Ovis aries: one gene and its partners. The protein of the gene in region 2 purifies or fractionates together with the protein of the main gene of each other region. This does not show direct contact. Links are inferred from orthologs where the notes say so. Each region holds a gene or a part of one and is shown on either strand. Other genes may lie near its edges.

The links.
Region 1: the proteins of NEURL4 (region 2) and ZNRD2 purify together in Homo sapiens (co-immunoprecipitation; 4 studies listed by BioGRID and IntAct, with this or other methods). This does not show direct contact. The link is inferred for Ovis aries from reciprocal best matches to the Homo sapiens genes NEURL4 and ZNRD2.
Region 3: the proteins of NEURL4 (region 2) and CEP97 purify together in Homo sapiens (affinity purification with western blotting; 4 studies listed by BioGRID and IntAct, with this or other methods). This does not show direct contact. The link is inferred for Ovis aries from reciprocal best matches to the Homo sapiens genes NEURL4 and CEP97.
Region 4: the proteins of NEURL4 (region 2) and UBE3A purify together in Homo sapiens (affinity purification with mass spectrometry; 3 studies listed by BioGRID and IntAct, with this or other methods). This does not show direct contact. The link is inferred for Ovis aries from reciprocal best matches to the Homo sapiens genes NEURL4 and UBE3A.

What each region holds. Positions count from the first base shown.
Region 1 is NC_056074.1:40,192,491-40,199,653, forward strand, and holds ZNRD2 (protein ZNRD2), read left to right. Parts: upstream 1-3,941; 5' UTR 3,942-3,974; coding exon 3,975-4,241; intron 4,242-4,371; coding exon 4,372-4,456; intron 4,457-4,849; coding exon 4,850-5,193; 3' UTR 5,194-5,228; downstream 5,229-7,163. Other genes in the region: FAM89B (leucine repeat adapter protein 25), read left to right, coding at 6,092-6,391, 6,768-7,046. UniProt on the Homo sapiens protein: Might play a role in mitosis. Antigenic molecule. Could be a centromere-associated protein. May induce anti-centromere antibodies.
Region 2 is NC_056064.1:26,921,039-26,929,189, reverse strand, and holds the start of NEURL4 (neuralized-like protein 4), read left to right. Parts: upstream 1-3,898; 5' UTR 3,899-3,904; coding exon 3,905-4,192; intron 4,193-5,117; coding exon 5,118-5,562; intron 5,563-5,599; exon of another isoform or gene 5,600-5,756; coding exon 5,757-5,822; intron 5,823-5,965; coding exon 5,966-6,264; intron 6,265-6,437; coding exon 6,438-6,549; intron 6,550-6,637; coding exon 6,638-6,726; intron 6,727-7,458; coding exon 7,459-7,531; intron 7,532-7,677; coding exon 7,678-7,942; intron 7,943-8,151. Other genes in the region: uncharacterized protein LOC105607811, read right to left, coding at 225-362, 447-647, 1,352-1,437, 1,667-1,738, 1,838-1,945, 2,271-2,764. UniProt on the Homo sapiens protein: Promotes CCP110 ubiquitination and proteasome-dependent degradation. By counteracting accumulation of CP110, maintains normal centriolar homeostasis and preventing formation of ectopic microtubular organizing centers.
Region 3 is NC_056054.1:166,990,249-166,997,780, reverse strand, and holds part of CEP97 (centrosomal protein of 97 kDa), read right to left. Parts: intron 5,511-7,532; coding exon 5,346-5,510; intron 4,452-5,345; coding exon 4,327-4,451; intron 3,667-4,326; coding exon 2,889-3,666; intron 1-2,888. UniProt on the Homo sapiens protein: Acts as a key negative regulator of ciliogenesis in collaboration with CCP110 by capping the mother centriole thereby preventing cilia formation. Required for recruitment of CCP110 to the centrosome.
Region 4 is NC_056071.1:1,625,517-1,633,048, forward strand, and holds part of UBE3A (ubiquitin-protein ligase E3A), read right to left. Parts: intron 6,997-7,532; coding exon 6,852-6,996; intron 4,372-6,851; coding exon 4,166-4,371; intron 3,574-4,165; coding exon 3,409-3,573; intron 2,017-3,408; coding exon 1,861-2,016; intron 1,766-1,860; coding exon 1,692-1,765; intron 1-1,691. UniProt on the Homo sapiens protein: E3 ubiquitin-protein ligase which accepts ubiquitin from an E2 ubiquitin-conjugating enzyme in the form of a thioester and transfers it to its substrates.

The DNA of each region.
Region 1 (7,163 bases), on a different chromosome or scaffold from region 2:
CGCTCACCTTTGGCCATGCAGCCTGATTTCTAACAGGCCACGGACAGGGAGTCAGGACCCCTGTTCTAAAGAAATAAATTGTAGGTGAGTTGATTTTCTCTAATCTTTTTTCTAGCTTTCCTTCTGTTTTCTTTGGATTTAGTTTGCTCTACTTTTTCTAGTTTCTTAAGGTAATAGGTTACATTACTGACTTGAGACCTTTTTTTCTTTTAAATATAAGAATATACAGGGAATTCCCTGGCGGTCCAGTGGTTAGGACTTGCTGCTGTCATTGCTGAAGCCTCGGGTTTGAGGTTCAATCCTGGGTGGGAGAACTAAGGTCATACGAGCCCTACAGTGCAGCCAAAAGGAAAAAAGAAGAAAAAAAATAACACACAACTGTAAATTTTCTTCTAAGCACTGCTGTGGCTCCATCTCACAAGTTTGGGTACGCTGTGTTTTCATTAATATCAAAGTAGTTTCTAACTTCCTGTGTGATTTCTTCTATGACCCATCAGTTATTCAAGAAGGTGTTAATGTCCACATATTTGTGAATTTCCCAAATTTCCTTGTTATTGATTGCTAATTTCATTCCAATGTGATCTGAGAACATATTTTGTATGATTTTAACCCTTTTGAAAAAGTGTATTCAGGCCCCTCCCTGGTTGTCCAATGGGTAAGAGTCTGCCTTGCAGTGCAGGGGGCTCAGGTTTGATCCCTGGTTCAGGGGACTAAGGTCCCACACGCTGCAGAGCAGCTAAGCCCCACACCACACTGGAGAATCTCAGGGCCACAATGAAAGATCCCATGTGCTACAGCTAAGACCTAATACAGCTGAATAAACAAATACAAATTTAAAATAAGTATATTAAGACTTGTTTTATGGTCTAACTTACAATCTATCCTGGAGAATGTTCCAAGTATATTTAAGAATATGACTTCTGCTGTTGTTGGCAAGAGTGCTTTATAGATGTATGTCAGGACTTGGACTTGACAGCTGTGATTTTTCTTTTAAAGGAGACTGCCTTAATAGGGGGTATTTCTGTCCCACTGTCATAATAACATGTTATTTCTGCCTTGTTTTAATAGAAGGACTAGGATTCTAGCTGGAGCCGATCACAAGAATTTATCTAGATTTCTTTCACTGTAGCAGTACTATAAACTTAAACAATAGGAGCCCAAGCAGTAATCATTGCCTCATCTGTAGCTTCCTATGAGAGTTTGTCTGTCTCAAGGAAATTCCCCTAAGAGGGACAAAACTCCCTTATAGCAGCCAGGACCCACTTCGGGGTGCGGGGTGGGGATGGAGGAGCTGAGACCTTTTATTGTCATCTCAGAATGGATTTAAGATTGGCATGATAGACTGTAGAAAGGGCTGAGCTGTAAGATGGCCCAGCTGTTGCCATTCTATCTTACCAAGTATCACTTGCCCTACCCCTTATCTCCCAAGTGAGCCAGCAAAGTTCTAGTGATTCATCTACTTGTTTTTGTCCATAGCAGTAGTGAATTTCTGTGAGAAATTCCCAACCCCACCCAGAAGAGAGGAATTGTCATGAGGAATAAATGAAGGGAGTAAATGGGAGGGTCTTAGTTGAGGCCAGGTCGGATAAGCTGTCAAGTGGAAATCGGTCATTATGATGACACAGAAGGATGCATCGAGGAATCTAGGGGTAAGGAGGAGCTGAGAGCTGAAGATAGTAAGGACCTGGAGGGACTGTGCATATAGGCTTTAGAGTCCAAAAGTCCCTCTAGTCAGTTTGGCAGAACCAACCTGGCGTCAGACCCTGACTCAGGTACACTGCTGCCCAAGAGCCTGCTGGTAGTTGGACAGAGTGACTGGGGGCCCAGGGCTCTCCAAGGAAGCAGGAGGCAGCAGGTGTCCAAAAATGGAAGGTCCAGGGAGTCTATGTAGGAGGAAGATGGGGCCACGAGGAGGGCACTCCAGCTGCAGGTAAAACTGAAAGCACATTCCGCCAGTCAGAGACAGACTGCTTAGGTGACTGTGGGAGTCTAAGTCCTTGTGCCTCCACTTCCCTGGAATATAGCCTTGAGGCACTGCAGGCTGCACGTCGGGGGGACTGCTGCTGCTCCACCTGGCTTCTCCAAACCTACTAAGGGAGAGAATGTGTATGGGGTAAAAAAAGAGAGGGAGAAAACAAACAAAAAAACCCACTGGGGCCAATGTTTAGGAAGCCCGAGTTATTTTAACAGCAACCCACTGAAGAAGAGCATTACGGTCATGTGTGTGCTCAGTCATGTCTGACTCTTTGCGACCCCACAGTCTGTAGTTTACCAGGCTCTTCTGTCCGTGGGATTTTTCAGGCAAGAATCCTGGAGTGGATTGTCATTTCCTCCTTTATGGGATTTACCCCACCTAGAGACCGAATCCCAGAGAAGGCAATGGCACCCCACTCCAGTACTCTTGCCTGGAAACTCCCATGGACGGAGGAGCCTGGTAGGCTATACAGTCCATGGAGTCAGACACGACTGAGCGACTTCACTTTCACTTTTCACTTTCATGCATTGGAGAAGGAAATGGCAACCCACTCCAGTGTTCTTGCCTGGAGAATCCCAGGGACCGGGGAGCCTGGTGGGCTGCCGTCATTGGGGTCGCACAGAGTCAGTCACGACTGAAACGACTTAGCAGCAGCGGCAGCAGGGATCGAATCTGCTCTGTGTTGCCTGAAGATTCTTTACCACTTCACCACCTGGAACCCCCAAAAGGGTCACAGGCACGCATAATAAACCCCTCACCCCCACTCTCCAGCATGCAGCTGGTACCGAAACAGCACATGTCCAGCACAGCGATTGCCACCATCACCCCACCCGACCTCCGCCTCCATTAGCTGGCTTTTTGAGCGCGCCAACGTCAACAAAATAAAAAACCTGCTTAGGCGCTGACTTTGCATCAGTCCCAGGCCTTTGGATGGGGATGGAGGGGGTAGTGGGGTGGGCACACTGGAACACTGAACATGCAGAAGGGGAGGGGTCTTGAAATAAGCTGGAAGGTATAGACTTTGCAGACAAAGGTCCGTATGTATAGTCAAAGCTATGGTTTTCCCATAGTCACGTAGGGATATGAGAGCTGGATCACAAAAAAGGCTAAGCGCGGAAGAATTGATGCTTTTGAACTGTGGTCCTTTGGACAGCAAGGAGACCAAACCATTTAATCCTAAAGGAGATCAACCCTGAATATTCATTGGAAGAACTGATGCTGAAGCTCCAATACTTTGGCCACCTGATGCGAAAAGGCGACTCATTCGAAAAGACCCTGATGTCGGGAAAATATTGAAAGCAAAAGGAGAAGCGGGCAACAGAGCATGAGATGGTTGGACGGCATCACTGACTCAATGGACATGAGTTTCAGCAAACTCTGGGAGATAGTGAAGGACAGGGGAGCCTAGCGTGCTGCAGTCCCTGGGGTCCTAGAGTTGGACACGACTTGGCGACTGAACAACTGACGGGGAGAACTTTCGTTGCCTGGCCTGCTTTGCCAATTGAATGGCGAACGAGTGAGGCCCGAGGACGCTCCACGCACGCGGAAGGGGCCGTTTGTTATTATCAAGAGTGGTGTTGCGATGATGCCAACCGCCCCGCCTGTCCCGGATCCTGCCAGTGCGGAAAGGGAAACACCAGGGAGGCGGAGGCCAGCGGAGATTTCTCAAGCCAAGCGATCCCCTCCAACTGCGGCGGGAAGAGCGACCCTGCACTGTCACTTTCGGGTCCAGAGACCTGAGTGGCATTATCAGAGAGACGCCCCTCCTGACGCCCAGCCAGTCGAAAAGTTTTTGTCCACAGAATCCCACCGCGGGGCGTGCCAGTGGGACAGGGTCCAGACTGCAGCAGACACGCCCCACTCTGGGCATCGCGACGTCGGAGGAGCAGAGAGAGCGTCATTTCCGCCCTCACTCTCGGCCCGACAGGGAAGGGCGGGGAAGCAGAAGGCGCGCTGCTTGTGCGTCACTTCCGGTGAGTCTAGCGGCGACAACGGCAACATGGCCCTAAACGGCGCTGGTGAGGCCATGGATTGTGGGGGCCTGTGGCTTCGTGGTTCGGGCGGCACCTTGCTTCAGCAAGACCTTCCGGCCCCTTGTGCCTCTCTTCCCCCAGAAGTCGACGACTTTTCCTGGGAGCCCCCGACCGAAGCGGAGACGAAGGTGCTGCAAGCGCGGCGGGAGCGACAGGATCGCATCTCCCGGCTCATGGGCGACTACCTGCTGCGTGGTTACCGCATGCTGGGCGAGACCTGTGCTGACTGCGGGGTGAGGAGATACTCGGGACGTGGGATCCAGGCTGGGGCCGCGGACCAGGCCGCACGGCCCTTTCCCCTTCTCTCCCCTCTGAACCCCGTCGCCGGTCTCACCCCTGCTCCCTGTGCTTTCTGGCCCCTAGACGATCCTCCTCCAAGACAAACAGCGGAAAATCTACTGCGTGGCTTGTCAGGAGCTCGATTCAGACGTGGATAAAGATAACCCGGGTGAGGGGTCGAGGGTGCTTAGTGATAGAGACTCAGGAACAGTAGTTGGGAGGTGAGAGTGGTAGTTGTGGGTGGGGCAAGGGTGAGTTGCGTTCTCCTTTCTCCTAGAAACGGCCATTCACTCAGTAAGAGCACTAAGCACCTACTGTGTGCCAGACACCTGAGCCTGAGCTTATTAGGCATAGTTCTGATGAGAGAAGGCCTTATGCTCTTTAAGCAAGGGCGTAAATACCTCTGATACAAAAAAGAAAATGGATGTGTTCTCTTATACTGGGGCAGGGAATACATCTCAAGTACAGAGAGAGCAGAACAGTGAAGGGTAGGGGAAGTGTCTTAGGGCTGATGTGGGGCCAGGTATATCCTGATCATTCCACTGGCTTTCTCCTTTTTTAGCTCTGAATGCCCAGGCTGCCCTCTCCCAAGCTCGGGAGCACCAGCTCGCCTCTGCCTCGGAGCCCCCCTTGAGCTCTCGGCCTGCCCCTCAGCCGCCAGTACCCCGTCCTGAACACTGTGAGGGAGCTGCAGCAGGGCTTAAGGCAGTCCAGGGGCCACCCCCTCCTGCTGTGCTTCCAAATGCAGATGTGGTGGCCTGCACACAGGAGGCTCTCCTGCAGAAGCTGACCTGGGCCTCAGCTGAGCTGGGCTCTAGCACCTCCCTGGAGACTAGCATCCAGCTGTGTAGCCTTATCCGGGCGTGTGCTGAAGCCCTGCGTAGTCTGAAGCAGCTGCAACACTAAAAAACCTCTCCTGAGAAAAACCCTGTAGAAAAACAGCTGTTCCTCTTGTGTGGTTCGTTCTTTTTTTTGGTTCTGAGTGTGCATGCAAGTCCCAGCTCCACTCGTCTTTTCCCTGCTTTTGGTCTTTCATGGTATCACAGTCTGGTCTCCTTGATGCCCTGAGAAATGAGTGGGGTTTGTTTCTGCTCAGTATCCCCACTCAAAGGATGAGGTGGCAGAGGACTATGTGCTATTTTTTCTTTTTTTCTGGTGAGGAGGCCCCAACCTCAAAAGCAGAAACAGGAGGCGTGGATCTCTGAAGGAATCCTGGAACCTCCCCAGCCATCCAGCGCTATTCCCCACCCTTGAGAGAGATTTGGGGTTCCAGTCCCCTCGGTAGCTTCCCTTTCTTCCCCCAAGCATCCAGACACCATCATCCTGTCCCACCTCAGGCCCAGACCAGGTACCCAGATACTGACAGGATGTAGTCAGATAGGGATCAAGGATGGTCTTAATCTGTCTCCTGACCACACCCCACCCCCTTTAGATCCTTTTCCTTGAGAGTTGTAATTGGCCGGAATAAACAGTGTTGGGGAGGGGGAGGAACCGCACCCTCCGCTTTTAACCTCTTCCCTCCTTTTTACCTGCTTCCCTTCTATCGGTGGCCAATGCCCTTTTCTCTGGTCTCCTGGGGCAACGTGGGCGCACAGAGCTGTTGCCCTTTTAAGACAGGCCCCGCCCACGCGGAGGGGGTGGGGCAGGGGCGGAGTCGGAGGAGTCCGGGTGGGAACAAAGCGCGGCCTGCGGGCGGCGGCTGGGCTCTGGTGGCGGGGCCGCGGGGTGCGGGGCCCGCGGGCGGTGGCCCGGGCGGAGCGTTGGCGAAAAAGAGGCGGCATCATCCTCTGGTACCCGCCCGGCCATGAATGGGCTGCCTTCTGCCGAGGCGCCGAGCGGCGCGGGCTGCGCCCTGGCTGGTCTCCCGCCGTTACCGCGCGGCCTCAGCGGTCTTCTCAACGCGAGCGGGGGCTCGTGGAGAGAGCTAGAGCGCGTCTACAGTCAGCGCAGCCGCATCCACGATGAGCTGAGCCGAGCCGCCCGCGTCCCGGACGGGCCCCGCCAAGCCACCGGCGCCGCCAACGCGGGAACTGCCGCGGGTACTCCTGGCTCACGTCGCCCTGTCAACCTCGACTCGGCGCTAGCGGCGCTGCGCAAGGAAATGGTGAGTAGCTGGGCCTCGGTCAGCTAGGCGTTGGGGGGCGACGGGGCAGCCACCAAGCTCGAGAGTCCAGGCGCGTTCGGGGCGGGGTCCACAGGCAACGCGGTCTGGGTCTAGAGGAACGACAGAAAGAAGCCAGTTGGGTTAGAGGGGATACGGTAATAATTATAGCTATGTTTATTGGCGATAGTTACCATGTATTTTTAAATGCTTTACTAGTGTTCTTTCCATTCTGCTGTCTTGTCCCTGTCCTGCAGATAGGGGTTACTGACTTGCCTAAAGATTCAAAGCTGTCCACAGAAACCTGTGCTTGGGAAGAATGGCATGGGCGGAGGGGTGGCTGGCACTCCAACCCCAGCCCACTTTCAGTCTTTTGCAGGTGGGCCTGCGGCAGCTGGACATGTCCCTGCTGTGCCAGCTGTGGGGCCTGTATGAGTCGATCCAGGACTATAAGCACCTGTGCCAAGACTTGAGCCTGTGCCAGGACCTGTCGTCCTCCCTGCACTCAGACAGCTCCTACCCACCCGACGCTGGCCTGTCTGATGACGAGGAGCCTCCAGATGCTAGCCTGCCCCCAGACCCGCCACCCCTCACTGTGCCCCAGACACACAATGTCCGGGACCAGTGGCTGCAGGATGCCTTCCACATCAGCCTCTGAGAGCTGGGAGGGTGGGGGCACGCACCCACGAAAAAGGCTCAGAAACTCACCCCTCAGCAAGTACTCGGACTGTGGTGCCTGCTTTCCCCCATACCACCTCACCTCACAGGAGGGCAG
Region 2 (8,151 bases):
CAGGGAGGAGGCATGGGGGCAGCAGTGGTACCAAGCTGGGGGGCCGGTACGCATCCCTCTGAGCCTCCCTGGGTCCTCTCCATACAATCCACATTGCACACAAGAATGTGGAGGGCCTCTCTCATCACCTTTGCCGATCTGCTGGCCTGAAGGGAGCAGGGGGTTGGGAAGATGGGAGCTTGCCAAGAGCCAGGCCTGGTGAGATGGTGGCCTGGTGCCCTCACCAAGCTTCGATGATGTCACTATCACCTTCCGGGAGCTCTCAGTGGCCTGGAAATCCTGGGAGGAGCTTCCCGTGTGGTCCAGCAGACGGACCTCAGTGCTCATGGGACTCTCGATCACCCAGTTCAAGTTTGTGGGGCCTGGAAGTGTCAGAGGACCAGGGTTGGCACACCCATCAGTCTGCTGGCCCTCCCGCTCCTGGGCTGACCCAGCTGAACTCTCACTGCTCTGCTGCTCATCTTCTGTGTCCTCCTCAAGCTCAGGGTGGGGCCAGCACCTCAGGTATCTTCCTTTGCTGTAATACTCCTTGCGCTGCAGATCAATTTCCTTCTCCAACACCACAGTGGCGGATGAAGTTGGGGACAGATTTCTGAAGGCAGGGGAAGCTGAGGAATCACCCAAATCAATCTGAGTCATAAGGGCACCTAGAGAATACAGGGCACCAGCTTCACTGTGACCCCTAAGCAGCCATGAGAAGCTCAAGCCTGAGGTTCTCATCTCACTTCTATCCCCTCCTCCCATTTTAGAAAAACATCAGTGACCTTTCCACCCCCTCAGAGTTCTGTGGGGCTTTCTGTTCCTCCTTCCCAGCCAGCCTTCCTTGGGGCCTGATGGGGACCCCACCCCAGCTGCCCTCTGTCTACCTTGGGGACAACAGCCAGCACGACTTCCCTCTTAGGCAGCAGGGCCCTGGGCTGACACCCACTGAGGAAGACAAGCTCTGGTGGAGAAGGTTCTGGACTACAATTCCCTTGGGTGTCTGGGACCCCCCCATAGCTAACCTTTGGCTTCTAGGATGTGGTTTCTGGCCACTAGGCCAATCTGGCCCTTGACTCCTCCAGTCATTCTTCCTGCCCCACCTCTTTCCACAGGCCTGGGCTCTGAGTCCAGCATCTCACTTCGACTGCCACTGCTCATACTCACACCACCCACACTGCTGTTCTTGCTGTTATCCAAGGGAGGGTTTTTCTGAGGTTTCAGGAACTTCCCTTCATTGTAGTGTGCCTTGCGGCGCTTTTCAAAATCATTGGATTCTGTGGGCCAGTGTCAGAGCATGGCTTTCCTGCCAGGCTCTCCGCTGAGCTCTCACTCCACCTCCCCTTCCACTTAACCCCACCCCTCATCTCACGTGTCTTGGAAAAGCTGTCTGAAGACCCCGAACTTCTGTTATCACTGTACAGGACCTTGGGGCAGACATTGTCCATTGCTGCAAACCTGAAAGGGAGGGAGACCAGCTGGAAGCACAGAGAGAACAAAAAATGGGAGCAGGTGGTAGCTGGGGCCAAGCTGGCAGACTCCCCGACCTTGGCCTGAGTGAGTCCTGGTCCAAATTGTAGTACCTCCCATTTGGAGAGCCAACAAGCAGAGCTGGCTCAGACCCTAGCTCAGGGGTGGAGGGGGCAGGAGGCCGCAGGTCCCTACTGACGGCTGGCAGGACTCTCACCTCTCTGCTAACTTCTCAGGAGTCATTGCGTGAGAGGTACCGGCAAGCAGGTCTTCATCGCTGTCTTGCAGCCTGCAAGGGAGGGAGGCAGCAGTGCCTCAGAGCAGGCAGCAGGCACTCCCCTTCTCCTTAGAGAGTAGGAGCTGAAGGGCTACAGCTGCAGACTCGCACCTGTGGAAGGGAGTGCTGGGCTCATCCACCTTCATAAAGCCATAGTTCTTGTCAGCAGGGTGGTAGGTCGCCAGGATATTCATTTCATCCCAGTGCTGAGACTTTCTCCTTCGGGTGAGGAAAGGATACAAAAAAAGGGGGAGGAAATCTCCTAATGCTCAGTCCTCCCTCACTCTTTCAGTCATTCAAAACTTTTTCCGACGTGTAGGAGGCTGAGGTGGGGTCACACTTGATGATAATCAAGTGCTATGTAATCAAGGGTTTATCCTATACCTGCCTCTCTCTCAAAGGCCAGGAACCTCGGATTCCCCACCCAATTACCCCCACTTACTCTCACTTACTCTCACTTTTAGTTCTTGGGACTCCACCCCCTTTCCCCTGCCTTGGTTTCCTCCTGTGTCTGGAATCCCTTTCTTCCTCCCCGGCTTCTTACCTCTCCGCCCGGGGGGATTTGTGCACCGTGATGGAGCTGCTGTTTTTTAGGATGCTCCGGGGCCGGTCCTCACAGGGTCTGTCTTGGCGCATGCAAGTTGACTCGGATATCGTAATGTTTGCCGAGTTGTACAACCCAGACGCCCCGGACCCCGGGTTGAACGTCCCGGATACACTGGTTCCAGGGAAGGGGGGATTAAATCCGTCAGGTTTTGTACGGGACCCAAAGCTGTGGCCCGCGACTTCCCCAGGATGCTGGTTGAGCCCGGTACCGAGGACTGCTGTCCCTCCGGAGGGCTGGCTAGAATCAGGACTGCGAATTATAGTTCCCCCATTGTGCGTGGAGGGCCCAGAACCGTGAAACATGGTTACTCCGGAGAGCAACCCGGCGCCTGACTCGACTCCTCCGATGCCTCCTGGCACCCCCCTGATACCCCCACCAGGGGATTCTCCATTGAGGCCGCCAGCAGCCCCCACACTTTCCTGCTTCTCCATGGCCCCACTAGGGGGCCACTCTCAGCTACCTCGCCCCGCCTCCCTGCTCCACATAGCCCCGCCCCAGGCCCCGCCCCCACTGCGGCTGGAGAGGGACGCTTGGGCGAGGCCTGGGTCCCCTCCCCCACCGCTCCCTGGAGCAGTGGGGGGCGGAATCAAAACTGTTTAGGGACCTCCGACTGGAAGCCTCTCAGGTTGCCCCTCCCTTTCTGTCCCACCCTAAAACCTTTCTTTGTCTTTGGGATTTGTTCCCGCCCTTCTCCCCCATCACCCTTATCCGAATTATCCAATCATAGTCATGGTCCCGGACGCCGTGCGAGAAACCTAATTGTGACGTCACACACAGTCCAACTGAAGCGTGAGCATCTAGGGAGTCTTGCTGGGGGGTTGTTGATAGCTCTGGGGGTGGCTGTCTTTGAGGGCTGTCAGCGTCGTTGCCTGAAACTACCTGCCAGGGTTCCTTTGGACTCTTTATTCGTGGCTTTAAAACCTAAGTTTGGTTGAACTAGAGTTCAAGATGGGCTTGTCTAGAAACATCGCGAACTCTTTTCGCCCCAAAATCCAGCCCGCTCTGTTTCTGCGGAGAAGTGGAGGGATTGCGACACTGTCGAAAGACATATCCGGTCTCAAGTGGTACGGAGTGTGACCCTCTTTATTTACAAAGCTACCTCTATGTGCTCAGGGCCCGCTCACACCGCTTCCGGGCGCTTGGAGCGAAGGAAAGCCCCCTGCCTCCTCCTGCCGTAAAGCGAATACTTCAAAGTGTTGCCTGTCCTCGACGAAGGCAGGGTCGTCGGTGTCGCAAAGCTGAAAGTGTTTGGGCACTACCCCTAAGTCGTAAAAGTGCCTGTGGCAGTCGTTTCTTCCACTGTCGCAAAAGCTCCCGGCCCGTCTTCGCCCCTCTGGAGCCACTCCGTCACCTCGCCCGTGCCGTAAAGCAAACCTGCCCGACTCTGTCGTCCTTTCTCTTCCCACCGTAGTAGTCCTTAGTTCCTTACTCCGGGATGCTTTATTGCCCGGCACTGCCGTAAAGCATATCTGGCCCCAGCCCCCGAGTCCTATTCCCCCAGGGCGTCTGTGCACCGCGGTTGCCACGGTGCCGCCAAGCGCGGCTGTCGCGCGGCCCCGGTGTCAGCGGCGATGGCGGCGGGGTCGGGTGGGAATGGGGGCTCCGGGGGAGGCCCCGGGCCGGGGCCGGGTGGGGGTGGGGGTGGTGGCCCCGGCGGGAGCGGCCCAGGGCCGGGGTCCGGCGGGGGTCTGGGCAGCGGCGGGGAGCTGCACCCGCGCACCGGGCGCTTGGTGAGCTTGTCGGCCTGTGGGCGTACAGCGCGGCGGCAGCAGCCAGGCCAGGAGTTTAACCACGGGCTGGTGTTGAGTCGGGAACCCTTGCGCGATGGACGCGTCTTCACCGTCCGCATCGACCGCAAGGTGCGGAGCTGGGGCCGCGGAAGCGAGATGTGGAGGGTGGTGGGAGGGGACCAGAAGGCGATGGGGGAGGACAGCTAGGGTAGCCCACATTACCGGATACCGAGAGGGAACCGCTAGCCAGAACACCAGGTGATGAGCAGGAAGGGAGCATGAAGCGGAAACATTAAGTCACAAAAATAGGAGGCAAGGAGAGCTTGATTTTTGTCAAGACTCAGGAGCATGGAAGGGACACGGGGCCCCACCCACTATAATGATTAAAGAACAATCCTCCTGGGATAATTTCTGGGAGACGGAGGATGGAGAGATGTCAGATATGTGATGGAAGGAGAAGAAAGATAACCAAGAAAAGAACAACCACTGAAGGACAAAAGCACACCGATAGGGACAGAAAGATGGGTGAGGAGAGATACTCAAAGCAAGAGATGTGTATGCCTGTGCGGTGATGCAGCGGAAATGCCAGGTGCACAGAGGTAGAATTTGGGAAGAGAGTGAGTTTGAGTGCAGCCAGAGCCTAGGAGAGAGGCCCAGAGAGAAAGAGCGAGCAATATACCAGCGAGTATGGAGAGCTGTGAATTTGACTGGTTGAGGAGCTACAGAGACCAGAGCAATTAGAGATGGCAGGAGCCTGGAGCCAGGGAATTTAACCAGCTTGGTGAGCCAGCGTGGGAAGAGCATGGGATCATAGACAGCGTGCACCCAGAGTACAGAAGAGAGTTGCTAACGGAGAGCAAGTCTAATCATTCCCTGAGACCAGAGTCCAGATAATACTTTGTGGGACTGGATCTCTGGATTGGGGATGTCTTGTATCTCAAGAGAGTAAAGCCCAGTTAGCTAAGAGGTGGGAAGAGGGGGACACAGTGGCCTATGAAGTGTGGGAGACCCATTCGTAGCCCACCCTGAGCCACTGTCCACTGCCCCATCACAGGTCAACTCCTGGAGTGGCTCCATTGAGATTGGGGTGACGGCACTGGACCCCAATGTGCTGGACTTCCCAAGCAGCGCCACAGGGCTGAAGGGAGGCTCGTGGGTAGTGTCGGGCTGCTCGGTGCTGAGGGATGGACGGTCTGTGCTGGAGGAGTATGGGCAGGACCTCGACCAGCTTGGCGAAGGGGACCGTGTGGGTGTGGAGCGCACGGCTGCCGGGGAGCTGCGGCTCTGGGTGAACGGGCGGGATTGCGGCGTGGCTGCCACGGGCCTTCCGGCTCGTGTCTGGGCCGTCGTGGACCTTTACGGCAAGTGCACCCAGATCACTGTGCTCCCCCCTGAGCCGGGCTTCAGCCCCCCTACTCCCAGCCCCACACCTCCCCTTGATCCCTCCGCCCCCCCTGAAGATTCTGCCTTGGCTGAACAAGGGACCTCTGGGGATGAAGGTGAGAATGAAGTTAGGGCAGTGGTGGGGGGACGGGGCAGACAGAATGGCTGAAGGAACGGGGGCGGGCAAGGCAATGACAAGTGAGGCTGGGTGTGGGCTGGGAGAACAGGGGCTAGTGGAGGGGTCTCCTGGCTGTGGTCCCTGCAGCAGGGGCTGAACCCTTATTCCCCTCCCATCCCACCTGGTCCCCAGCCTTCATGGTATCCCCAGCGCAGGCCCGACCGGAGACGTTTCCTAACAGCCTTGAGTCGCATAATGGTGAGGGTTCCTGGGAGGCCTGGGAAGGGGAGCGGGACATGAGGTGGACAGGGGGGGACCTCAGGAGAGGGGTAGGGAGAGCTTGGTGAGCCTGAGACTGAGAATACTCATTTCTGCTCCCTTCCTGTGTCCTGCTGTTGCAGACTTTGCCAGCATGGAGCTCTCCGAGGTGGTGAGCAATGCCATCCTGTCTGCGTACAACGGGGGGCTCCTGAATGTGAACCTGAGCTCCCCCCCAGCAGAGGAAGCACCAGGGCCTAGCGGTGCTGCCACCTCACCCATTGTCACCTCCAACGATGCTCTCCTTTTCCATGAGAAGTGTGGAACCCTCATCAAGCTCAGCAACAACAATAAGACTGCTGAGCGCCGCCGGCCCCTGGATGAATTCAACAACGGGGTTGTCATGACCAACCGCCCACTCCGGGACAATGAGATGTTTGAGGTGTGCAAGGTGTTGGGGCCTGGCCAGCGTCTCACCCTCTGGGAGCTAGAGATGGGGCTCAATCCCCAATGCTAGCAAAGGGTGGAGGTGGCCTAGGGAAGCTCAAAGGGCGGAGAGACTTTTTTCTCTGAGTTTACATTTCCCCTCTCCCTTCCACTGTCATTCCACCCAAGATCCGCATCGATAAGCTCGTAGATAAGTGGTCAGGCTCCATTGAGATTGGTGTCACCACCCACAACCCCAACAATCTGGAGTACCCAGCCACCATGACCAACCTGCAGTCAGGTACCAGCCCCTGGCATGGTGGGGGCGTGGCCTTTGGTCACTGAGGTGCAGGGAGCCCATACCCTAACCAAAATGTCTGCTTTCCCAGGCACCATCATGATGAGTGGCTGTGGGATCCTGACCAATGGCAAGGGCACCCGCCGGGAGTACTGTGAATTCAGCCTGGATGAGCTGCAGGTGAGGGTGGACACAGTGCCGGCCTCTCTCCAGGGGCACCCCTGTATATACCGAGCAGTCCTCCCTGGGCCCCATATTCTCTGATCTGGAGCAAGGCCCTTTATCTTTTGTCTGAAGGGTCCTTCTGAGAAGGGCTTCCCTGGTGGCTCAAATGATAGTCTGCCTGCAAAGCAGGAGACCTGGGTTTGATCCCTGGTTTGGGAAGATCCCCTGGAGATGGGAACGGATACCTGCTCCAGTATTCTGGCCTGGAGAATTCCATGGACAGAGGAGCCTGGCAGGCTACAGTCCGTGGGGTCACAAAGAGTTGGACACAAATGATTGACTTTCACTTTTCCTTCTGAGAAGGCAGGGTTGCCCAACTGTTAAGCACTCAGATTTTGCAGTCAGATGGGTTGCATTCTTCTTTCAATTTGGCCTTTGGTGGTGGTGACCTGTGGCCAGAAGCTCATCTTTTTGGGTAGTTTTTTTTCCTTAATGTCTGAAAATGAGCCTGTTAGTACTATTTGATAGAGTGCCGTGAAGGTTGAGCTGGTGTTGATAAGATAGTTTAACATAGTGCCTGACTTGCCTTGAACATTCAGAGTGGTCTGGGATGCATGGGAACCAGTTGTTCCCCTGTCGCATCGGTTGATGGGAAGGCTGGAGGACTACTCTGTTCTCAGTGTCCAGGACAAGTCTGGACCTCAGCTGTTGAAAGATTCCAGGTTTTTATTTTTCTGCTTTGAATAGGAGGGTGACCACATTGGTCTCACGAGGAAGTCCAACTCTGCCCTACACTTCTTCATTAATGGCATTGATCAGGGTAAGGAGAAGCTCAGAGAGGGTGGCTGGGCCAGGGCTTTCACTGAGGGGGGTCTGTGTCATTCTCCCTTTATTGATTCTTCTCCCCTCATCCCATACACAATGAGGCCATCATTCCTCCATTCCCTGTGCCTTCCACTCCTGCAGGTGTGGCGACCCCCTTGACGCCCCCAGTGGTGTACGGTGTGGTGGACTTGTATGGAATGGCTGTGAAGGTGACCATCGTCCACAATAACAACCACAGTGACCGCCTTCGCCGGAACAATGCCATCCTGCGGGCTCTGTCCCCTGAGGGTGCTCTCCGCCGGGCTGCTCCTACAACCCAGGCAGAACCTGAGCGCCTGCTCTTCCACCCCAACTGTGGGCAGAAGGCAGCCATCACCCACGAGGGACGCACTGCCCTGAGGCCCCAGTATGGCCCATGGGGTGGGGAGAAGCCTGCGGAGGGGCTATGAGGGGATTGGGGGAGGGGTGGGCAAGTGGGAGGCAGTGGGAGTCTGGTTGGGGGGCCTCCTGGAATGCGGACCGTGGGTGCTTGACTTGGGCAGTGGGTGTCGGCTGGGTATTGCAGTGCTGAGCTTTGGAGCAGTGTGTTGGGGGGGGATCTGAGTCCCCACTTGC
Region 3 (7,532 bases), on a different chromosome or scaffold from region 2:
GGTCCTGACATACTCCTTGCTATCATCAACAGACTTCCCTGTGCATAACTTCCCCTCATTCATTAAAGTTTCACTGTGGGCTCACTGTCCCCCTTCCATACTTAAAACTTATCACAGACCTACGGTTCCCTTAGCTGTCCAGTATCTCTTAAACTGTCACCCCGTTTTGTTCTGAAACTCTGACCTACTTTCTCTAGCCCCTCAAGCCTTCTTACTGCACAATGTAGGACTTCTGAATTATAATCAGCAAACCCCCATATATACACTCAGATTCTTCTCTGAACTCTTCCTTGACCAAATCAGACGCACTTCCAAGGGCCCTGTAGCCCTCTCAAGTAGCAGCTATTTTTTTCACTTATACATCAGGGTCAGAACACTGCTTCCACTGCTGTTTACAAATGATTCTTAACCTTCCTCCTGCAAAAACTCCAGCCATCCTGCTAAATTTCCCCAAACTCTTTTTCAAGTACTGAGCTCTCACTATCGGCCCCCATTCACTGAACCCTCAGCACTAGTATTCTTCTCTGCCCTGTGGCCCTGGTCATTTCTGGAGCCCTTGACATTCACATGGATGCTCTATCTAACAATCATCTTCAGTCCCACTCTGGCAGTAGTGGCGGTGTAATTGCTAAGTCATGTCAGTCTCCACTCTAGACTCAAGTATTTTGACTACACCATTTAAAAAAAATGATTTCAAGCACCAACACAAACCTCTCAGTTCACTTGTTCTTGACACAATCTGCAACAACCTGGATACCCAATCCTCATCTATGACCACCATTCAAATGATGTCTTTCTCCTGTCTTTCCTTTTACCTCATTTAAATTCCAAGATCTATCACTATAATCATCTCCCTTCAAAAAGTCTTCAGCTCCCTTGATCTTCCCTCTCTCCCCTACCATATTCACCTGGGAAAAAAACCCACTCCTGGCTGAACTGGGTCCAAAATCAGAATAGAACAGCTGAGAGCTGCTGATAAAAATCACAGTTTCACTTATTGCTTCACACGTTTCAGTTTTTCCTCATACTATCCAGCAATTCTCCATTCCCTTTGTAAGTTCACTTTTAAGATAAACACTCCATACTTCACACCTCTCTTCTTCAGCCTCTCATCTCACATCCTCACCCACTCCTTTCCAAGTGCTGACCACATCTTGTATATTACTGAAAAAAGAGAAGCACCCATCAGACAGGACTTCCGCATCCCCCACCATCAATACCTACCACCTTACCCGGCCCTGCTCCTACCTCACTCCCTCCGCTTGTGCACCGAACCTCTTCTCTCACCTTCTCAAGAACTTCTGCCCTGCACTTCTTTCATTGCTCTGCGCCATCAGTTTTTCCTTCCTTATTGAATCATTTCCACCAACACATAAACCTCCTCTGTATCTCCCATCTTCTTAATTCCAGATTCTCCTCTGGCAACCACCTGCTCCCTTCTCCTCCTCACAGCAACACTCATCCAAAGCTGGTTGTGCTCACTCTTCACCTCTCTTTCACTATTCAGTCCTTTCCAAACTGACTTCATCCCACTACCCCCTGAAGCTACTCTTAGGAAGTTCACTGGGCAGGAAAGGGTTAACTTAGCAGGACTGAAATGTTCAAACTCAAACATCCTAAAGACAGGACTGGCCTTGACCAGCTTCTGAGAGATAACCTCTAAACCTTTGGAATATCCTGCCTGATTAGAGCACCTTTGTACCTCTGAGACCTTGGTTTATGCTAACAATGTGCTTTATGGTGAATACCAGTTTGGTTCACCTGAGACCCTGGGCTACAATGTTATTGGTTTGACCTTGGGTGGCGGCTGAGGTCTGAGTAGTTAAGGTCAGTCATATGGACTGACCTAGGTTAGGTGACTGTCCGCCAATAAAAATCCCAGATGCCAAGGCTTGAGGAAGCTCCGTGGTTGGCAATACTTCATGTGTTTTCACTCATTGTTGCTCCAAGAATTGAGCCCCACCTATAAAACTGCACTGGAAGAAGACAACTAGAAGCTGGAACTTGGTCTCTCCAGAAGTTTGCCCTGTGTGTCTTCTTCCTTTGCTGACTGTAATCTATATCCTTTCACTCTAATAAACATAATCATAAAGAATAGCTTTTTTGAGTCAAGAGTCCTTTTTACAAATCAAACCTGGGCATAGTTTTGGGGACCTTCAACACACAGTCACTGCCAGTTGCTGAATCTGGTATACAGTTCTCGGTCCTGTTACAGCACCTCTCTTCTCTCTTGAAACATGGCCCTGCTGGAGCTGGGACACACTCTCTCCCAGTTCTCCTCCCTCTCTGGCTGTCCCTTCTCAGTCCCTTTTACTCTTCCTCCTCTCCCACTTGCTAATCCCAGTAAATACTGACAGGTGCAGTCCTGATACTCAGAATAAATCTATGAAATCCTAATTTCCCTGGGTGACAGTCATGAAAACATGTAAGCCAGAGAATGAACACATAACTTCCACCATAGCCACCAAATTTTAACCCCTTCTAAGTCCCTACTGTTTTCCTTAATTCTTATGTCATCTACTGGGTTCTATGTAGACTTCCTCATCGTCTCACTTTTATACTCATTCAGTTTTTCTATATTTTCTGTATCTTCTGTGTTTAGGTACATAGACGTCCATAAGGCATGCATTTCATCCAACATTTACTGCTATGCTGCATCTATATTCCAATCTCAGCACTAGATACGGAGGCACGTATTGCAGTCCTTGCTCTCAAGCTGCTTTCAGTACAGTGTCAGAGACAAACCTAGAGTGGCAACATGGTATGGAAAGTGTCCCAGACACTAGAGTTTGATTCAGTGTTCTGAATCAAAGCTAAGAATCTGACACCCCCAAACCAACAAAACAGCATCTTCACAGTAAAAGCCTTAAAACGGACTTCTCACCCACCTCCTTATTTCACCAGTTAGGCAGACAATGTGTTCTTGCATCCTGCGAAGACGGATTTCATAGCGCACATCTCTAGCTTGTGGGTTGTAGTTCCTGGCATAAAAGCCCCGCCAACAGGCCTGAAGCTTGGTGGCTGCTTCATTCAGTTTCTGGAGGGCAACTTTATCTTGTCCCAACGGAACAGATTTCTGGGTTAACAGCCTGCAGGGAAGCTTCTCTGAAGCTATTTGAGACCTGGCTTCTTCACTGTCTGGCTGCATATGGAAGACATTGTGTCCAACTGACTCAGGAAAAGATGTAAGACTGTGGGTGTGATCCTTCAAGCCAGCACTGGTGACTGTTGGCTCAGGACAAGCTAACAGTCCATCTTTCTCATTTACCTCTGTACCAACTGCACTTTTTGTCATCTGAACAGAATTCTCATTTGCAGCCCCCAAAGCCTTTTCCTCTTCCTTGTTTGATAAGCTCTGGTTTTCTGGCCCTTTCACAGATTCATCTGCAGCAGCATCATCTTCTAGGCTCAAGTTAATGCCTTGCAGCCTCAGCTCCACTGTAGGTGATACTGGAGAGAGTCCTGATGCAACTGGCATAAAAGTAGACTCTGAAGAGAGGAGACTGCAATTTAACTTGTCCTCATCGGTCTGGATGTCTTCCAGGTGCAGGTCATTTCGAGAATATCTTGCAGTGTGTACAGAGGTTGGAAAGTTATTCTTAACAGCATGTGATTGGTCATCATGACTGCTTATCCCAACCCAAGAATTGACTTGGATGACAGGTTCTAAAAGAATCAACAGAATGTCACTGGAAACATTAAATATTTACGGAGGGATTTTTTTTCAGTTGTATCCCTTTAATGAAATTTAATCCCTCAAATATAGTAAAAGGCAATGAAATTATTTCAGTAATTTCCTCCAAAATGCCTTAAAATATCAAACCAAATATTTTTAAGAAACTAAATTCTTGCAATAATCATAAAAATAATCAAAGTACTAGGTCAAGTCAAAAGGTGGCAGTCCTCTGAATGTTTTCGAAAATTAAGACATTTAATAGTTATAGATGTCTGTGTATATTGTTGTTGAGCCACTAAGTCGTGTTTGACTCTTTTGCGACATGACCCCATGGATTGTACAGCATGCCAAGCTCCTCTGTCCATGAAATTTTCCAGGCAAGAATACTGGAGTGGGTTGCCATTTCCTTCTTTAGGGGATCTTCCTGACCCAGGGGTTGAATCCACATCTCCTGCATTGGCAGGTGGATTCTTTATCACTGAGACAAAAGGGAAGCTGCCATTTGTGTAATATACATATGTAATAAAATAAAAGATCCAAATGTTCACTTGAGCTAACAAGTAAAACATTCTGAAAATATGTACTGTTTCCTGTTTTATGATACCAAATAGATCAAACAAAAAAGGACCGGAGATCAGTTAACTTCTTACCGCTTTCTGGGACTACCTGGCCATCTTGAATGGGGCTGGAATGCTCTGGCACAAATGATGCCCTTGATTCAACAGGAGACGACTCTTCATTGTGGCTCTGGTTCATTAACTGCCTCTGGTGAAATCTAAAATCAGAATACCCTATGTGATTTCACACAAATCAAAAAAAGAAAGCTTCTCTGCTTCCTTCAACAATTCGCCAGGTAACAATGTCAAGAAGGGAGAAGTTTACAAGTTTTCAGAGTACATACCTTTAATGACCTCAAAATTACAAAGTCTCATGGATAGAAAATGTTAAGAAATTTATTTTTAAATCACAGTCAGACACCATCATAAATATACACACACAAACCTTCAAAGACAGGATCTCTGATGAAAGACGTGACTACTAAAAATGCTTCTAGTATATATAACGTTAGTTTTCTTTTTACGTTTTTTCTAAAAGCTTTATTTATTATTTGGTTTTGCCTGCGTTGGGTCTCTGTTGCTGTGCATGGGCTTTCTCCAGCTGTGGTGAGCGGGAGCTACTCTTTGTTCTGGTGTACAGGCTTCTCACTGCCAGTGGCCTCTCTCTTGCAAAGCTCGGGCTCTAGAGCTCGGGCTCAGCAGCTGTGGTGCACAAGCTTAGCTGCTCCACAGCATGCGCCATCTTCCGGGACCAGGAATCGAACCTATGACTCCTGCATTGCCAGGCGGATACTTAACCACTGGACCACCAGGGAAGTCTCTATAATGTTAGTATTTTAAAGCCCATGTAAAACACCCACATTAAAAGAACAAATGAAGTTATTTTAAATCCCAGGCTGCCAGGCTGCTAGGCTCTCCCCACTCAGGAAATGACTAGTAAGCAATGCAGCTACTGGGGAGGAAACCAGATTGCACTGCGTGGTTTGGCTCCTCTGAAAGCCCACTGTGGTGACCAGGGCCCCAGGGGTCCAGAAATGTGGCTGCAGCACTCTCTCCAATCCTGCTAACTCTGCAGGAAAGTTGCATCAGCCGCTACAGATAAATGCGCTCACCTCTGCTTGCTCAGAATCTTCTCTAGCTTGGCATCCTCTGCAGTTTGAAGGCCCAGCGTAGAAGTGAGAGGACAGACTGTAGCCAGATACTGGACAAGCTGGATGTGCTGGCCAGGCCGATACGCTCTCCCCTTGCCTTGACTATATAGCCATTCAGCTTTTAAACTGGAATTGGGGGACAGAAAGAAGGGCTGGCACTGGGGTAGACAAGATACATTTTCAGGCAGTAATGATCTTCCTTCTTAATATGCCTTTCCAGCATCACTAGATGTTTTTCATGAATAACATTTCAGTTAAAAAGAAAAATTATCCTCTGCTTTACTCTCCTTATTCTTGTTATGGTTTAAACATTTTTTCTTGCTTAGGGGCACTTCCAATGATTTGTACTAAATGGTTCCAAATATTTTAAAATTATCTTCAAAGAAGCAATAAGTATTCCCTCCATTCACTGTCAAACTGAAGTACCTAAATACATAAACTGTGTTTAAATTCACTAGTTCATAATGATAGTTTTTTTAAAGCCAACTGGTCACAGTTGAAGGATGCTAGTGAGCTACCATCTCATCATCTTTAAAAACTGATAAAGGGGGAGAATTAAATATTATTAATTCCATTTTTCCTATACAAACTATACCAATGAGTAACCAAATAGTTACTCCACAGAAGTATTCCAGCTTATTTAAAAATGAATTATAGAATTAAAATTTCACCATTTTGCAACTCTCAATGAATTAATGGATTTAGGCACTGACCGTTAACAGCTTCTCATAACATAAGAGACAACCAGATACCATGTGCCTCTCAACAGGACCCAAAAAGCTGTTCTTGACCCCACAAAAATCTGATCAAACCTCCACCTCCAACTACCCATTTACAGAAAACACAAAAGAGGAGAGTATGTCAAAGCACATGGGGACGCAGCAATTGGCAAAATAAGCACAGTAGGAAACTCTGTAGGACAAAGAATTTGATTTCTTCAATAACCAAAAAGAGAAAAGAAAGCAAAGCAGAGAGACAGGGGGCCCACAGAGAGATCTGAAAGCATCATCTTGGACCTCTAGCCAAGCTGACCTTTCAAATGACTCCAGCCCTGACTGTGATCACACCACAAGACCCCAAGTGAAAATGACCAAATCAGCACAGCCAACCCATGCAGCATGCAATAAACAGTAAACTTTTAAGATACTGAAAAAGAGAACAAGAAAGATATATTTTAAATACATCAAGTAATTACATTGTATGGCCTTATTTGGAACCAGTTTCCAAAATTCTATTTAAAAACTGCATTTACGAGGACTAAACATAAACACTTAATATTTGGTGTTATTAAGGAATTATTGTTAAATTTTTTGAGATGTGATAACAGTATTGTATTTATTTCTTTACAGACTGACATTTCTCAAACGTCCCACATAGCTCCCAAATTGGAGTGATTACGAAATAGGCTGGAGTGATTATGTTTGGAGTGATTATGAATAAGGCTGCTATGAACATGCTTACGCATTTTTTCCAGCATACATAAGTTCCTATTTCTCTAGGGTATATAGCAGAGTCAAATTGTTAAGTCATAGGGTATTTATATGTTTAAATTCAGTACTGTCAGTTTTTCAAAGTGGCGCACAATTTATACTCCTAGAACAGTTAATGAGAGTGCCAATTGCTCTACATAGCCATCAAAATTAAACATATTGCTCATACTTCTAATTTTAGCTACTATGGTGGGAGCTCCATAGCAACAAGGAAAAAAAATAATCTTTCTAAATTATCAAAAAGTCACTATAGTGGGGACGGGAGTTATGATGAGTGGGACAAAGAAGACCTCTGCAGTGCTGGTTACATTTAGTCTTCTTTTCAATGGTGATTATACAGATATTCTAAAGTATTACATTTAAACTATTTCTAAATTATATGCTATCACAACAAACTGGAAAATTCTTAAAGAGATGGTAATACCAGACCACCTGACATGCCTCCTGAGAAATCTGTATGCACGTTAGGAAGTAACAGTTAGAACTGGACATGGAACAACGGACTGGTTCCAAATAGGGAAAGGAATACGTCAAGGCTGTATATTGTCACCCTGCTTATTTAACTTATATGCAGAGTACATCATGAGAAACGCTGGGCTGGATGAAGTACAAGCTGGAATCAAGATTTCCGGGAGAAGTATCAATAACTTCAGATAGG
Region 4 (7,532 bases), on a different chromosome or scaffold from region 2:
TTGTATGGAAATACAAAAAACCTCGAATAGCCAAAGCAATCTTGAGAAAGAAGAATGGAACTGGAGGAATCAACTTGCCTGACTTCAGACTCTACTACAAAGCCACAGTCATCAAGACAGTATGGTACTGGCACAAAGACAGACATATAGATCAATGGAACAAAATAGAAAGCCCAGAGATAAATCCACACACATATGGACACCTTATCTTTGACAAAGGAGGCAAGAATATACAATGGAGTAAAGACAATCTCTTTAACAAGTGGTGCTGGGAAAACTGGTCAACCACTTGTAAAAGAATGAAACTAGATCACTTTCTAACACCGCACACAAAAATAAACTCAAAATGGATTAAAGATCTAAATGTAAGATCAGAAACTATAAAACTCCTAGAGGAGAACATAGGCAAAACACTCTCAGACATAAATCATAGCAGGATCCTCTATGATCCACCTCCCAGAATGCTGGAAATAAAAGCAAAAATAAACAAATGGGATCTAATTAAAATTAAAAGCTTCTGCACAACAAAGGAAAATATAAGCAAGGTGAAAAGACAGCCATCTGAATGGGAGAAAATAATAGCAAATGAAGCAACTGACAAACAACTAATCTCAAAAATATACAAGCAACTTCTGCAGCTCAACTCCAGAAAAATAAACGACCCAATCAAAAAATGGGCCAAAGAACTAAATAGACATTTCTCCAAAGAAGACATACGGATGGCTAACAAACACATGAAAAGATGCTCAACATCACTCATTATTAGAGAAATGCAAATCAAAACCACAATGAGGTACCACTTCACACCAGTCAGAATGGCTGCGATCCAAAAATCTGCAAGCAATAAATGCTGGAGAGGGTGTGGAGAAAAGGGAACCCTCCTACACTGTTGGTGGGAATGCAAACTAGTACAGCCACTATGGAGAACAGTGTGGAGATTCCTTAAAAATTGCAAATAGAACTACCTTATGACCCAGCAATCCCACTTCTGGGCATACACACCGAGGAAACCAGAATTGAAAGAGACACATGTACCCCAATGTTCATCGCAGCACTGTTTATAATAGCCAGGACATGGAAACAACCTAGATGTCCATCAGCATATGAATGGATAAGAAAGCTGTGGTACATATACACAATGGAGTATTACTCAGCCGTTAAAAAGAATTCATTTGAATCAGTTCTGATGAGATGGATGAAACTGGAGCCGATTATACAGAGTGAAGTAAGCCAGAAAGAAAAACACCAATACAGTATACTAACACATATATATGGAATTTAGGAAGATGGCAATGACGACCCTGTATGCAAGACAGGGAAAGAGACACAGATGGGTATAACGGACTTTTGGACACAGAGGGAGAGGGAGAGGGTGGGATGATTTGGGAGAATGACATTCTAACATGTATACTATCATGTGAATTGAATCGCCAGTCTATGTCTGACGCAGGATGCAGCATGCTTGGGGCTGGTGCATGGGGATGACCCAGAAAGATGTTATGGGGAGGGAGGTGGGAGGGGTGTTCATGTTTGGGAATGCATGTAAGAATTAAAGATTTTAAAATTTAAAAAAAATAAAATAAAATAAAAGCAGAAGAGGAAAGCAAAGTGGAAAGCATAAAAAAAAAAATAAAATAAAATAAAAATATAAAGCAATGTTTACTAAAAAAAAAAAGAATTAAGAACCTCACCTAATCACAACAGAGTCCCTGGTATAGCCACCGTCATATTCTGTAGTTTCTTCTAGTGCTTGGAAATCTAGATTCTGCAAATTCAAGAAAACACATCTTAACATCTACACCACACCATTACAAACAAAAGATCAACAGAAGATTTTTCTGGAAACCCTTGCTTTCTTACCCGGCTTCCACATATAAGCAATTCAATTTCCTCTGGTCTGAATAAGTACTTTAAAGGAGATTCATTGGTCACCATATGAAAACCTCTCCGAAAAGCCTTGAACTGTTTTTCTACTGATTTATTGAGAATGTAGTCAGAATACAGATTGACAAATTCCTGCAGAAAACATTAACCACAAGAAGGTCTTATGATGCGTAATACAACAAAATACAAGCTACTGGACTGCATCATATTTTTATTTTCCCAAAGAAAACACAATCAAGAATATTTTAAAAAATATTTTACACACACAAAGGAAAATACCTTTAACGATTTCACAGCTCTCTATGATAGACAAAGTGTTAGTTACTCAGTCATGTCCAACTCTGTGATCCCATGGACTGTATCTGGCCAGGCTCCTCTGTCCATGGGATTCTCCAGCAGGAATACTGAAGTGGGTCACCATTCCCTTCTCCAGGGGATCTTCCTGACCCAGAAACTGAACCTAGGTCTCCCGCAATGCAGGCAGATTCTTTACACTCTGAGCCACTAAAGAGGCCACACACATATAAGTTTCAACTTCGATATTAAACAAAAGCTGGGCCTTGATACAATTTTAAAGTTCTCTCAATTAGGTTATGCAAATGCAAAAACATTTAAACCATTTATACATAAATTTATAAAAGCTGACATTTTTAATAAGAGTGCAATGTACTGGAAATGAGCAAATAAGGAAGTCTTTCATGTTTCCTATTCTAGAATATTTGGGAAGCTGCCTACCGTTATCTGTTTCAACAAAAATATCAGTGTTTCACTTGGTGAGCAAGCTATTGTACCAAATAAAAAAAGGAAAATAAACTCTGTATCCCAAGTTAACTAATATTTTATCAAAAATTGTATTAATATAAACATTGTTTTTAAAGACTTTATATATATCATAATTCCCATTTCCAGATGCATACTTTTCTAGTCAACAGAAAACACAAAACTGATTTCTTTAAAATATTTATTCTTTAGTACTTTTCAGATGTTTATTTAAGGCACGTGTATTTGTATGTGCATTAGAAGCAATTATTGACCATTTGGTTATAAGGACCCTCCTTGTTTCCTACCCCTCTACAGCTTAATATGAGAGACAGCCTTCTTCCTGCTTTACCCACAGCCACCCACATCTGTGCACTGTCGCCCACTCGGGGCCTCTCTCTCCAGGAGGAGTTCAGTGCCCAACCACGTGCTCTCATACCAGCCTTTAGTCAAGGTTTAAAGAACTGTGGCTATTTCATTTAATGAAAAAGAACTTAGTTACTTGATTTCTTTGTAGAGCTGACATTAGAAACTTCCTTAAAAACTACAAGTGTATGTGCTTTCCCTGGAGGAGGGCGTGGCAGCCCACTCCAGTGTTCTTGCTTGGAGAATCCCATGGACAGAGGAGCCTGCTGGGCTGCAGGCCATAGGGTCTCACAGAGTGGGACACAACTGAAGCAGTGCACGCACAAACGCACACATATACGCTTTAAAATTCTGTTATTAAAGAGACAAAGACAAGGATGACATAAAAACATTTATTACCTTTCTGTTTTCATTGGTAATTGGAATTTTATCACCATTTTCCTTTAGATCATACATCATCGGATTACCAAAAAGATCTGTCTGAGATATCTGGAAAGTGATCATCATATCATCTTCCACATTCCCTTCATACTCCAATAAGTCTTTTAAACTCTGATACAGAACCTACCAATCAGAAAAGGAAAAATTAAGGTTACCACACAACTATAAAATACAACAATCTGTATCACTCTTCTTGGGAAAAGATTCAAAAAACTAACAGTAAGAATTAAACCACAAACAGTACCCCTCTTCTAGTAGTTTCTATGCAGACATAAAGAAAGTCAGTCAGTCAGTGGTTAACGCGTCCCTCTGCTGAGAAACCCCACACCAGCTACTTAGCTATGGGTCTCACACTGTGCTCTACCGAGACCCTTAGAGGCATCTCAAGGGTAAGGGGGGGGCTAGCTGCAGCCACCAGAGCCACTGACTAAGGGCAGCTCTGACTCAACCCAGCAATCTCATGATTCCATTAAAAAAAAAAATTAGAAACACTTTTCTACAGAATCAACCTTGTAAAGCTGACTTGCTTGTAACAAGTTCTCCTTCAAGTTTTTAAGTGTTTATGGCATTTCAGATAGATAATAAAACAAGTTTATCTCACTAGGTATAAATATTAACAAAGATTTCAAATCAAAGCTTTAAAAATTTTATATAAATTAAATTCTGTATTTGCTTTTAAATAAAATCTAAAAGAATAAAAAATGACAAGACTTACAGGATGAGAGTCTCCCAAGTCAAGAAAAGTTCCTTTTTTCCCCATTAGCTTCCTGTAGACAACCATGGGAAAATGTACATCCAGTATACAGTTATTGTAAATAGCCAAACCCAGTACTATGCCAATCAGAGTGAACTGACCCTCAGTTTCAAAAGAGGATGGATTAAACCAAAACAACTTTGTAGATTCATCATATGTGAACATACCTGTAAGAAATGATTTTTTTAAATGCATTACTTTCATATTTTATTACAGATGAACAAATAATTATACATATAAAATACAAAAATAAATATAAAATAATTACACATGTAAACTTATTTGCATTAGGGCTTTTTTCTGTTATGTCAGGACTTACGAAAACAAAGTTCCAGTACATATGAATGCTACAAATTGTATAGCATATATTTAAAGTAATAAGCCATTCTGTTGGCATTTTCTAAGTTAGGAAAACTGTTCATTAAATTCAAGTTCTCTAATCTTCTATTAACATGAATCAGAAGTTAACTTGCATTCATATTTTTACCACTGAATGGTTGAAAAACGCAAAAGAAAAAAGAATCATATTTTGAAAATGTTCCACTTATTAAAACATATTTAATCCACATGCATTGCTTTAAAAAACAATTTTGAATTTCATTAAGAAAAAGTCTTTTTCCTCCAAATTGCATAATGGTTCCATGAAGTTTTTCAAGCACCTTTTTAACAAAGATACCAAGTACTTAAACTCAGGCAAACTTGATAAACTTATGCCCAAAACCAAAGCCATTTAATATACACATTAACTGTGAGCCAAAAAGTAAAACAAAACTAATTTGTAGTCTTCTTTTAATTTCACATGGTCTTCACTATTTATATCACTCATTTAAAAATAGTAATTAAATAGCCATTACCATGGTAGACTTATCTCTTTCCTTGTAAAGAAATATCTAAGATAAATGTAAAATGATATTTTAATTGACTTAACAATTTCATTTTACTATAAAATGTTTTGTAGTTGCTACTGTGAAACTAAATGAAAATATTTCAAGAATTAGATCTAGGAAAGAGAGGGAAGTTCCAATAGAATAAACTTTAAAAATCAACATTTTTTAAAGAAATCAACCAGTTTTTAAGTTTTTTAAACAGTTTTTAAAATGTTTAATTTTCACATTTAGTTGAATTTAAATATAAAGGGAAGTTTAAAGGGTCCCCTTGATCCTAAGAACATGAATTTAAGACATTTTTCTAATGCAACTTAATGTTCACGAAACAAAATTTTATAAATTACCTAATTTATACTTGAATCTCAGTTTATATCCAACTTTTTTTTACAGGCTGAAATTACAAATCTAGTGAAGTGCTAAAAACTTCATTTAATTACAAATATGGTATTAACTGGATCAGAACAGTTAAGAAAAGCTCCATAAAGGGTGGCTCTTCTAAAATATTCCTTTTTGGTATTTCTATTGTCATCATTTTAACTGATTTACTATCAAGCAAAATTGTTTCATGTATGTTTTTTCTTAAAAGTATTTCTGCATATAATGTAAATATACTTTGTAACTAATGTTTAACATTTTTAGATACATAAAGACCTAGAGCTAAAGTTCACCAAAGATAGAAAATTAATTTAAAAGCTTCATATCTCACAAACACCATGGTTTTTAATGAAGCTTATAAATTAATTTTCTATCTCAAAAACAGCACAGATTTATACATCTAAGTTTACTTTGAGCAAATTATATATAAATGACATAGTCTTCAGATTATTAAAAAACATTAGCTAAAATACTAAGTCTTACCTTAACTATGTTTATGTCATGAAGTCAAAATGTCTACTTCCATTTATAAGCAGACTAACAACAAATATAGAAAAGTCAATTCAGTGTACACACTGAGAATCAACAGGAAATGATGTGCATTATTCTATGCCACGTTCTTCACAATTATGATGGTACCTTTAGAGGACTTCTTTTCCTCTAATTGTCATGCATTCGATTTTAAAAGTAAGCAACCCCAGTAACCAAGGTTTATACTGTAGAAATTAAATCAGATCAGAATTATCCAAATTATTTTGTCTATCAGTGAAACCCAAATTCATTTTCAGACTGACATACTATAGATCAATCTCTCCCAAATCATGTTCAATGAAAACTCTTCTGGAAAGCAAAAGCTACTAGATGTGGGATGGAAAAAGGGTTCTGGAGTTCCGTGTGGGAAAATATTATAATATTAAACCCAAGAAATGCTGTAGGAAATAAACCAAATTAATCTGCTATCAATCAGTACACCCAAATTTTGAGCACGATACACTTGTGAGACATTCTCAAGTCTTCAGACCATTATTCTATAAAACTCTTGTCTCAGAAATGCTATGGGTGATGAGTATTTTAGACTGAAAAAGAGCAAAACATTTCTTCAACTGTTCTAATGTATCATTCTAAAATGTCTTCAATTTCTTTTATCTAAGAGATAATTTCCTATATTAAAATATGTTACTAAGTAATCTAAATAAGAACTTGAATGAATGAGTGATGCAGGATCAATCCCAAAAGCCCACAAATTCAGTCATTATCTGTGATTCTAGTTACCTCATACCAAAATCTTCTGTTGCTCTTCATAACTGAAAATATTTGTAAATCTAGTAAATAAATTCTTAATTCAAAAAGATATGATACCATGATCACATCACTAAAATATTTACCAATATCTGGATTGAAGATTTCCTCCACAACCAGCTGAAAAAATTCTTTGGAAACACCTCCCTCATCAACTCCTTGTTCTCCTTCAAATTCCACATACAACTGTTTCTTCAAGTCTGCAGGATTTTCCATAGCGATCATCTCTAGCTAGTGAGTGGAAAAAGTGGAAAGAAGATGAAAGCCAGTATTAGGATGAAAACAAAATAAATTGTAGGGGCAGGAGCAAATAAAAGATAATGCTTTTGATATATTTTAAATGGAAACAGGAAGCAAACTGGTAAAAAGCCAGTAAGGCAAAGATTGTCTCACAGATAATGGAAAAATAGGATACAAAAGAAACTGGCATAGAATTCTAAAAGGGTTACTTTTTAACTAGTGATTTGATATGAAATTAGAATTAGATTTCCTGTTAATTTTGTATATAACAAACCTGGGTTTTAAGATTAGGAAATGGGGAAAGAAGTCAAGATAGCAAAAATGCCTCAAATTATTTCAGGAGAAACAAAGGCGCGTAGAAGTTGACTTCAAAACTGTTGACTTTTAATTCTTTATTAGAATAGAAACTCAAGAATTAAGTCTATCTATTAAATCATAAATAAAATAATTTCAATCAAGAAAAATAATTTAGGGAAGCAGTTTATGGTCTCTTAATAATACTTTAGTATAAATTACCATTTTAATGG